Linked DNA regions of Danio rerio. The protein of the gene in region 1 purifies or fractionates together with the protein of each later gene. This does not show direct contact. Links are inferred from orthologs where the notes say so. Each region holds a gene or a part of one and is shown in the gene's direction. Other genes may lie near its edges.

What was found.
Region 2: the proteins of eif3f (region 1) and eif3ba purify together in Homo sapiens (affinity purification with mass spectrometry; 14 studies listed by BioGRID and IntAct, counting the BioPlex papers as one, with this or other methods). This does not show direct contact. The link is inferred for Danio rerio from reciprocal best matches to the Homo sapiens genes EIF3F and EIF3B.
Region 3: the proteins of eif3f (region 1) and prrc2b purify together in Homo sapiens (affinity purification with mass spectrometry; 3 studies listed by BioGRID and IntAct, counting the BioPlex papers as one, with this or other methods). This does not show direct contact. The link is inferred for Danio rerio from reciprocal best matches to the Homo sapiens genes EIF3F and PRRC2B.

Annotation. Positions count from the first base shown.
Region 1 is NC_133176.1:11,702,060-11,705,819, forward strand, and holds the start of eif3f (eukaryotic translation initiation factor 3 subunit F), read left to right. Parts: upstream 1-1,117; 5' UTR 1,118-1,144; coding exon 1,145-1,256; intron 1,257-1,435; coding exon 1,436-1,506; intron 1,507-2,644; coding exon 2,645-2,724; intron 2,725-3,760. UniProt on the Homo sapiens protein: Component of the eukaryotic translation initiation factor 3 (eIF-3) complex, which is required for several steps in the initiation of protein synthesis.
Region 2 is NC_133178.1:40,722,579-40,726,238, forward strand, and holds part of eif3ba (eukaryotic translation initiation factor 3, subunit Ba), read left to right. Parts: intron 1-923; coding exon 924-981; intron 982-1,083; coding exon 1,084-1,212; intron 1,213-1,323; coding exon 1,324-1,481; intron 1,482-2,619; coding exon 2,620-2,751; intron 2,752-2,849; coding exon 2,850-2,916; intron 2,917-3,002; coding exon 3,003-3,049; intron 3,050-3,342; coding exon 3,343-3,553; intron 3,554-3,636; coding exon 3,637-3,660.
Region 3 is NC_133180.1:78,421,128-78,424,787, reverse strand, and holds part of prrc2b (protein PRRC2B), read left to right. Parts: intron 1-707; 5' UTR 708-771; coding exon 772-886; intron 887-3,189; coding exon 3,190-3,367; intron 3,368-3,660.

The DNA of each region.
Region 1 (3,760 bases):
TCTCTGGGAAACATCCACACACACACATTCACACACGCACTCATACACTACGGACAATTTAGCCTACCCATTTTACTGCATGTCTTTGAACTGTGGGGGAAACCCACACAAAGGCAGGGAAAACATGCAAACTCCACACAGGAACGCCAACTGAGCCGAGGTTCGAACCAGCGACCTTCTTGCTGTGAGGCGACAGCACTACCTACTGCGCCACTGCCTCACCTGTATAATGAACTTTTTATAGTAAAACAAAATTCATTTAAAACAGAATGGAGTTACACTAGTAAAGCTGCACCCTCTGCCTTGACTTGTTTATTTTCATTTACCTTTTTTTTGTAGATCAGCAATAAAATAATCAAACAAACCAAGGTTGCGTTAAATTAGAAATTAAGATCTCTGTTAAAGGCAATTGTCCCAACCCTCCCTATCAGTCTCTCTTCTCAGATGGGATGGTGGGCCAAATCAAAGATTATCAAGGGCCAAGTTTGGCCCACATGCCCTAGATTGGATACCTCTGGCCTAAATGATATGTTATTACAACAACTAGGCCTATAGCAAAACAAGTTGCCCAATAGCCTGTGGTTAGTTATATATTAGGCTACATGATAATACATCACAATTTACTGTTGTAAAACTAAAATATACTACAGTTGCCTACACAGTTTATTATAGATAATGCAGTAGCATTTATTAGCATGTGTTGTTAACTTAATACTTTATAGTATAGGCCTACAGTATAATAAACTTTACTATCATTTGTTTCAAAAACACTATCGTAGCCAATTTACTATGAATTACTCCATTATCTTTTCATGTGCGTTGTCTTGGCCATGTTTTCATCATGTCTAAATGTTTTGGATTGCTGCCATGTGGTTAGCTGATCCGATTTTTGGCATTAACATGCAGTTGTGTTGCTATTAAATTGTCCATTGAAAAAATGGATATGTACCAAGCAAACCTCGAAGAACTTTAACCTGACCCACCCACTAAAACTTTACATGCTGTGTTTAATTATTTATTTGATTATAATTTTTTACACATTATTTTGTCAGCCACCTACATCCGCTAGGGGGCGGCAGCGCGAATCCCACTGACGCGCTCTTCTTCTCTGTTTATCATCATCTTTTACTTCCTCTTCGAAATCATGGCGGTGCACGGCCCGGTCGTGAAAATCCACCCGGTGGTTTTGGCTTCGATTGTGGACTCATACGAGCGCAGGAATGAAGGAGCGAGTCGCGTGATCGGGACATTATTAGGTGGGTCATTGAATTCTTGTGTGAGATTTATGAGACAGTTGCGATTATTACAAACAACATGAGCGTCGCTTGGTCTTGTGGAGCATGTGTTGTAGTCGAGCTGAATGGCTGGGGTGGATGAGAAACTGTACAGATCAGCAGCATCACTTACCTGGTGGTTGTGTTTGTGTGTCAAACAGGAACAGCAGATAAACATTCAGTCGATGTCACCAACTGCTTCTCTGTTCCTCACAACGAGTCTGAAGATGAGGTGAGAAAAAAAGCATCATCTAATACATCCTTTACATTAGTGTGTGCCAGACATTTATGTAGCTTTTTAGGCATAACGAAAAACAAAACAATTTCACATCACAGGTATCTCACTGTAACTTTGTAATGGTCTAAAGGGTTCGAGTGAGACATCTGTGGTATTTCATGTTCTGTTGTTATGCATCTTTAGCTAATTGATTGGTTGAAATACACTTACAAACCATCAGCCAAAATTGAAGTGAGGTAAAGTTGATTTTATATTTGCACATTCAGACTTTCACCTTCTTAATGTAATTTCAGAAAGGTATTCTTTGTCAAATCCTAAACGGTCAACTCAAATTAACAGCCAGTGACTATTAAAGTACAACATTGTTTACAGTCAGTTAAATGGTGCTAATGTGGATTTAAAGTAGGCATGGGCCGGTATACAATTCTGACGTTAATATTCTTTAATATAAATATCACATTTTCACAGTATTACATAGTGATTACGGCTCTGCTAAATGGTAGCGCTCCAGTTTTTTTTTTTTTTTTTACTGTTTACAAACTGGTAATTCATCTATAGCAGATAATTTTGGCGGTTTTAAAACATCAGTTTTTTTTTTAAATCACTGTGTACCTTGAAAACGGTTATCGTCCCATGCCTATTTTGAAGTCATGCATTTCAGACCGATTATTCAATGTAGCCTGGTAAACAATGTAGGGACCTTTCATAGAGTTCATAAGCTTTTTTTTTTTTTTTTTAACTATAACAATTTGCTAATTTATCTGTATTAGCCTTTTCCCAGAGATGGGTTGCGGCTTGAAGGGCATCCTCTGCTTAAAAACTTGATGGATAAGTTGGCGGTTCATTCTGCTGTGGCGACCCCGGATTTATAAAGGGACTAAGCCGACAAGAAAATGAATGAATCTGTATTAGCCTCTTTAAAATTTGCTTTACTATTTTATTGAACACGAGTGTCTGAATGTTCAAATATAAAACCAACTTAATTCAAAAGTGTCATGTTACATGCTACTGTATTTTTGGACATGTACCATATGTTATTTATGCTTTACTAAGGAGCACCAGCATTTAATCATCATCATTGTGCAATTTATTTACCTTTTAAAATTATTTTTATTTTATTTTTTTTAAATAGGTGGCTGTTGACATGGAGTTCGCCAAGAACATGTATGAGCTTCATAAGAAGGTTTCGCCGAGTGAAGTCATTGTTGGATGGTATGTGGCCGCATTTCCAAATTAATATAATTCTTTTCTTTGCTAAAGTTTTGTTAAGTTATTGTTGTAAGCACATTTTTTGTTATATTTTTAGAAGGTTTAGAAACTTTTGTGAACATTTGTTATTTTTCATTTAATGCATTTTGCTTTGCGCTATGGTAAAATAACTAAAATAAGAAAATTAAATAAAATGATATTTTTTTCTCCTACAGTCCCATGATTTATTTTTGCAGCCATTTTAAATGTATATCTCATGTTTACAAGTTTATATTTCACAATTCAGATATTCATTTCATTTTCATTTGTTGTTCTTACAGTTCAGTTTATATTGCTACTCTTTTTTTTAAGTATATTTGCCTTTTATTCCATTGTAAAAGCAAGCTTCCATTAGGCCTGTCACGATATATCTAGTTTTTGTTGTACGGTATATTGCACCAAAATACATTGCGATAAATGATTTTATTGTGATTTTAATACCATTCTATGCCACTCATTATATAATACCAGAATGACAATATAATATCACCACAATGCAAGTACACTCATACAAAGAACACATAATATTTTATTGTTAAGACTATTTAATTTAGTTATCCTATGGCTTTGGAATGAGATTGTAAAAACGCATATCATAAATAATAATAAATGTTAACAAAAAGGTGCAAGGCAAAAAGTAACAGAAGCTGTGATATCTGCTAGCAGATCTATTTTTAGTTGTCAGACACCCACATGAAAATCTTCTATAGCAATTTATAGTAAAACCTGTAGAGCTTTTTAAACCATACTGACACCTCAATAGAGATCGAGATGTTGCAAAACCAGCTGAAATGTTGCTAGAATTCATTTTTATGTATGGGCGATATATATTGCATCACTAAAAATGTCTGAGGTCATGTCAATATAATATGACACGGCTTATCAATGCGATAAGTTCATATATTGATTACTGTGACAGGGTAGCTTCCATAATGTAGGTTATATCTATATATCAAAAAAGAATAATTATACAGGTAACAGAATTATTAGAACTTAAAAT
Region 2 (3,660 bases), on another chromosome or scaffold:
TGTTTGCACAGCAACAGGCATTAACAAAATGTACAAATGAAAAGTCTCACTGTCTGGAGCTGTAGTTAGAAACATAGTTCCTGGCTGTGTTCTATTCCCACTTATCCCCCTATGCGCTATTCATTTAGAACATTCTAATATTAAAAGTTGGTATTGTTAAAAATAAAAAAAAACATTAAGGTCATCTCTCTTAGGTGTAATTTGCTTTCTAACTATTTTTACGGTTCAGTTTTAGCGATCTTCATGTTTACAAATGTGCTACCTTCGCAGTGCATTTTGAAAATATTGATATAATTTTGAACACAGCCTCATGACGAAAGCTGTGGGAGACCTATTATTTAAAAGCAGAATTTATGCATTTAATACATGAATTTTAATGTATATTACATATACATTTATGTAGATTTCAGTAAAAATGAAAAACAAGTGCATGTTTTTTCCAACTCTAATATTGGATTTTATTTTAAATGCATGTGTGTATAAAACAATATAATTGGCACAAAGAATTTGAGTTTTTCTCTAAAGATGTAGTTACTCCACCCTGTTTAGAGCATCATTATGGGCGTTTTATGTTAAAACTAACGTGGTTCAAGCGATGGATCTGCGACAGAGAAACCACGAGTTTTGGGAAATATTTGTCACGACATCGTTCTTTTCCCAAACGATGCAACGTACTATGATAGTTCAGCTGCGAGTTACGTCGTTGTTTGGGAAACGCACCCCTGACCGATGGTGCATTGTCATTTGGGATTCCTGCCTGATACCTTGTGATGTGACTTGCAGATGCATACATTGTGATGCTGCAGCCCTACATACTTTGCTATACATGCAAAAATGTGGCACATACAATAACATGGAAGAGAAAATCAGGTGATGCATTAATAATCAACTGATCACTAATCTAAAGTCTTTTATCCACATAGGTACATGTCAATCTGTGATGAGTGGGAAGCTCCTGAAAAGCAGCCATTTAAAGATTTTGTGAGTTTAATAATATTTTTGATTGTCATTGTCGTCATAACCTACTGAAAATCTTTTATTACAAAAATTAATGAATGTTAATATTTGGTGTTTCTTTTACAGGGTAATCTGCGCCACTGGATGGAGGATCCTGACTGTCGTGATCAGTACAGCGTTATCTATGACTCTGGTGAAAGAACGGGCATATTCGCCAATGATGTCAAGGAGCCTATTGAAGTGGAGGAGAGAGCGGTGAGTTAAGTGTAATGTTATAGAAGACTATCATTCATCTGTAAGAATATATAGATATTGTGGACGTGCATGCTCTGACAATCAGTATTTTTCTTTGTATCTTACTTGTAGCGCTGGACTGAGACATACGTGCGCTGGTCTCCGAAAGGCACGTATCTGGCTACATTCCATCAGAGAGGCATCGCTCTGTGGGGTGGGGAGAAGTTCAAGCAGATCCAGAGGTTCAGTCATCAGGGGGTTCAGCTCATTGACTTCTCTCCCTGTGAGAGGTATGTCATGTTCTCCTGTTTAGAAATGGCCTCATGTTTGTATTTTAACACATTTTGCTCCCTGATTTAGACTCAAATAAACATTCCATATGTTTTTGTTTCTATACTGTACGTACTATCACCCTATCCTCAACCCAAACCTCACAGGAAACAATTTTACTTTCTAGCAAAAAAAAAATCAAATTCTATATGAAAAAGCCATTTTTGAAAAATGGTGACATAGGACAAAGTTCTCAGAGTTCACCTTAAAGATGCAGTAGGTCATCTGCCAGAATGCTAGCATTAGCATAATAGCATAGAAATTTTACGACCCCTGCCGTCCAAAGCCACGCCTCCTTAAGTTATGAACTTGCAAACGCGCACTGATTAGATATAACACTAGATCATGTCATTCACTAGTTAGAAAACTCTATGGACACAAACTTTATCAAGCATAGTTGTTGACCGGCCAGCGGTTGCAGGATTTAAATTTCCCCAAAACTGTGTCACAGGCTGTCAATGTTCAAAAATGAACAAATGTGTGAATATAAATCAAACTTCGCCTCAGTAAAGCTGAATAGCTGATCGGAAGAGCTCATTTACTTGTGTTTTGTTGTTAAACTAAATAAAAATTACATCAGTAAAAATGAGTGCTAAAAACAGAAATATCCTGTCATCCTTTTACATTTATGTTACCAAGACAATGAGTGTCATTTTCAATTGTGCTCGCTGATTCTCGTACATTGCTTGTTTTCATTTTTTTTTTACTTGAACAATTAAACAAATGCTCAGGTCTACTTAACCGATTATATTATGGATGCTGTAATCGGTACTCCACGAACTTGAAAATAGCCAATCTTCTGCGGGATGTTTTCAGTGGTTCAGTTGAGGTTGAGTAAATGAGCATCAAATGAGAAGTTGACTAATGGTTAACATCGTTAGTGATAACATTAGTTAACAGTCATAATCCTGGTCATCCTTTCATAACGATAATTCAAAATAACCAAGTAATGACTAATAAATCATCCTTGTTACTACTTGATTTAACTAGTAGGGCATTTTCAGTGCATCATTTTCTATTACAGTCAAATTAGTAATTTTTATTTCAGGTTAGTAAACCTTTTTTAATGTTATCCTTTTTTTTTTTTTTTTTTTGCAGGTATGTTGTTACATTCAGCCCTCTTATGGACACTAAAGACGACCCACAGGCCATCATTATCTGGGATGTTCTCACAGGACAGAAGAAAAGAGGCTTTCACTGTGAAAGCTCTGCCCACTGGCCAATTTTCAAGTAAGTGTGACCTTAGTCGAATTTCGTAGCACATGTTCCTGATTTGAGTACATTTGAACTAGAATATAATAACTTACGCGGAAACCTGTTGTCTTCAGGTGGAGTCCAGATGGGAAATTCTTCGCCCGAATGACCCAAGACATGCTGAGCATCTACGAGACTCCAGTAAGTCTCTTATGGTTTAGACATGAGATTGTTATTTAAACAGCTGATCTCTGAGGATTCTCAATCGAAAATTGTTTCTTTTCTAGTCGATGGGTCTTTTGGAGAAGAAGAGTTTGAAGATAAACGGAATTAAGTGAGTAATATTAAACAATTAAAGGCATAAATATTTGTATTTTTGGGTGTTTTATATAGTATCAAATATGATTTAAGGCATTTATAATTGTTCAGGAATAATGTTTCAGATTTTTTTGTTAAACATTTTTTTCACTTTTGATGTTTTTATGCATGCTTGTTAAGTAAAAGTATTTAAAAAATAAAAATAAAACTTGGAACTTTTACAAAGTTACCTTAAAAAAAGCCTCCTGAGAGTTACACTAATAACTTTTTGTGATTGCACTGATGACTTTTTTTTTCTCATTTCCACAGGGATTTCTCCTGGTCACCTGGTGATAACATCATTGCATTCTGGGTCCCTGAGGATAAGGACATCCCAGCAAGAGTAACGCTCATGCAGTTTCCATCTAGGAATGAGATGAGAGTCCGCAACCTGTTTAATGTTGTAGACTGCAAACTTCACTGGCAGAAGAATGGAGACTATCTCTGTGTGAAGGTGGATCGAACACCCAAAGGAACACAGGTATGAGAGCAGCCTTGAAAGTGCACTTTCAGGCTACACTAAAATAAAAAGGGATTTTCTCAATTTCTACTTTTCTACTTCAGGGTGTTGTCACCAACTTTGAGATC
Region 3 (3,660 bases), on another chromosome or scaffold:
GATGTAAGGTGGCTCTCTATGAAACTAAAATGTTTGCTTTTATTTTATTCAATATTTCCACATTTATGAGGAAAAGTGTGGTTATGGATGTGACATCTCTCCGTTATGGATGTGACGGATGTGAAATTGCCACTTGTGTGACTTTGGTAAATCTAATAGAATAGTTTAAAAACACTGACAGATGCATTTTTGAGTGTCTAAAGTACTGTAAAATACAAGAAACTGTTTCCGTATTTTGGTGAAAACTTAATTTTCTCATGGAAAGGTTGACATTTGCATGGAATTGCTCTTATACAAAATAGATAGGATTTATCTTGTTTCTAGTCCAAATTTCTACACTTTACAGCCAAAATGCGATTATTTTACTCACCGCATTGGCAGATAATCTTGCTTGTTTTAATGGATTGCTATTTCTCCTGTAGGTCAAAACAAAGCAATATTTGACTTGATCTAAGATCTTCAACATATCTGCACCAGAAAATTACATTTCTGTCCCTGAATACTGTTAGACTCCTCAGAAAAGTGTCAAATAGAGCTGTTCAAGCATGTGCTGAAACTGTATTCATATTGCAATATTTTATTGTTCTTGGGTAAATATTGCAATATCTCATTCTTTCAATATCGTTCAGCTCTAGTGTGTGTTTGTGTGTGGATGTGTTCAGGAAAGGTAGGTTTGTCTCCTCACGTTATTATACTTTTCTCCGCAGAATCTGACGGTACTGAGGAAGAGGTGCAAAGAAAAATTTCCATACTCGATGACATTACATCGCAATGTCCGATCGTTTGGGGCAAATTACCAAGTCCAAGGATGGGAAAAGCAAGTATTCATCACTCAGCCTATTTGACAAGTACAAGGGGAAGTCAATAGAAACTCAGAAAACCACAGGTGAGCCTCGACACTTTGACATCCCACACACACGACACATACTGTGTCCTATTACACGTGTAGTGTCTATTTTTGTGTAGAAAGTGCACACATACGAGTGTGTAACAGAAGAGTGTGCAAGCTTGGGGAAAAGCTACCCTCTCATCAAAGGGATTATTCTGTTGCTTAGTTACAAGCCCTGTCAATCATCTCGTCACACCATCAACAAATCTGTCATCTTTAATTTCTGGCCATATTGGAGATGTTAACCTGCCGTTCACGAGTGTTGCGTGCAGACAGTTCTCCTCAGGTGTTGGCAGAATTATACGTTCAGGAGCTGATCACCAAGCACACATCTTTAATAATTCATATTTATTTAAACAGAAAATATTTGTAATGTTTTTCATGTTGTGTTGTCCTGCAACAGCAAGAGCTTCTACAATCATTCAGGCATCTTACTGAATAAGAATATAAAACATAAACTAAAAAAAACAATACACTTTAAAAGAGAGTAATATTAGATAGATGGTAGTAATAAATGATTATATGCATAAATAAACAAACATATTACAGCAGATTGTCATTTCGATCTCCATCAATCATTCAAACATCTTTTTTTAACTAATTTATTTATTTTACACATTGTCAAGCTAATTTCTGCAGATCTGCACATTTGAGTTCACTGCTGAATGTTCTTGGTATTACTGTGTGAAAGTGGCTGATGTGTTATTTGCATTGTTTAAGATAATCCGCACATTCTTCAAATGATGCATATTGCATATAATTTTGGGATTTGCAGTTGCATTTGGATTGTGTCACAACTTGTGCATTCATGTTGACAATACAGTTTGCAATTGCGTTTGGAAAATCCTTTCATACATTTGATTCTTGAAGCATGGAGCACAGCTCAAACGTGCTGCCAAGTATTAATACTGTAAATATAGTTTAGGTTATTAATCCTCTTGGGGCAATTCATTCTGACATGGTGGTGCTTCACATATTACAAGAATGACACGCTTAACACAATAAACACCAACACTTAACATCAAGTACACAAACAAAAAACTGAGGGGAAAAAATTCAATAATAAATAATAATTACTAAAAATAATAAATAATAATCCACCGATTGCTTGCATTTATTACGTAACCGAATTGCTTCAGGCACACTGTAAATTTATAACGATTTGTGGAACCTCTTATTGTCCTTAAACATCACCCAGGGGGCGTCCACTCAAAATGATTGTGTGAGTGTTGTGTATTAGGGCTGCACAATATATAGTTTCAGCAACCATATCCCAATATGTGCATCTGCAGTAATCACATCACAGGATCTGCCATGTTAGATTGAGATTATGTAGTTTAGGATTGTATATATTATATTGAGGATATATAGCCACGGTTCCACATACATGAGATTTGTGGAGTTACTGCTGAGTTTAATCATGACGGAGTGATAGTTTATTATTTGCAGGCTTTTTTTTTTTTAAGCCAAAAGAGAGTTTAAAGCATCCAAGCGCAAGCAATTTTCCCATTTGTATCTTAATTAGACAATAATTCTGAATTATTGAAATGGTGAAGTCTTTGCTGTATTTTGTATTTGATAATTATTTTTTTATTTCTGTATCTGAATGTGATTTGATTGCCCTGAAACTGTGAAGCACTGTTTATTTCACTTTTATATTTGCTCTGTTTATCTGTGCTTGCAATTTATTACATTTGATGCATGATTCGCTCCTCCACTGAATCGCCAAAATCAATATAGATTAATAGATTATTTGCAAATCAAGCTATTTAAATCATCTGGTGATTGTTTATATATAAAGTTGATATTTTTTCTCACATTTCTAATCATAATAGTGTTCATAACTCATCTCTAATAACTGATTTCTCTTATCTTCATCATGATGAAGGCACATAATATTAGACTAGATATTCTTCAAGACACTAGTGTTCAGCTTAAAGTGACATGTAAAGGCTTCACTAGGGTAATTAGGGTAAAGTTAGGGTAATTAGGCAAGTCATTGTATAACAGTGGTTTGTTCTGGAGACAATCCAACACTAATATTGCTGAAGGGGGTGAATAATATTGAGCTTAAAATGGGTTTAAAACAATTAAGAACTGCTTTTATTCTAGCCTAAATAAAACAAATAAGACTTTCTCCAGAAGAACAAACATTAGAGGAAATACTGTGAACAACTCCTTACCAATTTTCAATTCTGTATTGCAAAATGTATTGTAGAACTGCTAATTATGTCAATGTGAGATTTGTCTAATGTCATGCAGGCCTAGTGTGTATGATGTTTCCCCCTCTCGTCCTGCAGTTGTTGCACGTCATGGCTTACAGAGTCTTGGTAAAGTGGCCGCAGCCCGGCGAATGCCTCCTCCCGCTCACCTGCCGAGTCTGAAGTCTGAGAGTAAAGGAAACGATCCCAACGTGATTATCGTGCCCAAAGACGGTACAGGATGGGCAAACAAGCAGGATCAACCCGATCCAAAGAGGTCAGACACTTCTCATTCATATCCAGCGCACAGTGTAGTGTTATCATGAGCACGGATCTTCTGTCAAGAATAGAATGAACCGCCAACTATTTCAGCATATGTTTTACACAGTGGATGCCCTTCCAGCTGCAACCCAGTACTGGGAAACACCCATACACACATTCACACTCATACGCTACGGCCAGTGTAGTTGATCAGTTCCCCTATAGCGCATGTGTTTGGACTGTAACCGGAGCACCCGGAGGAAATCCACACCAACACGGGGAGAACATGCAAACTCCACACAGAAACAC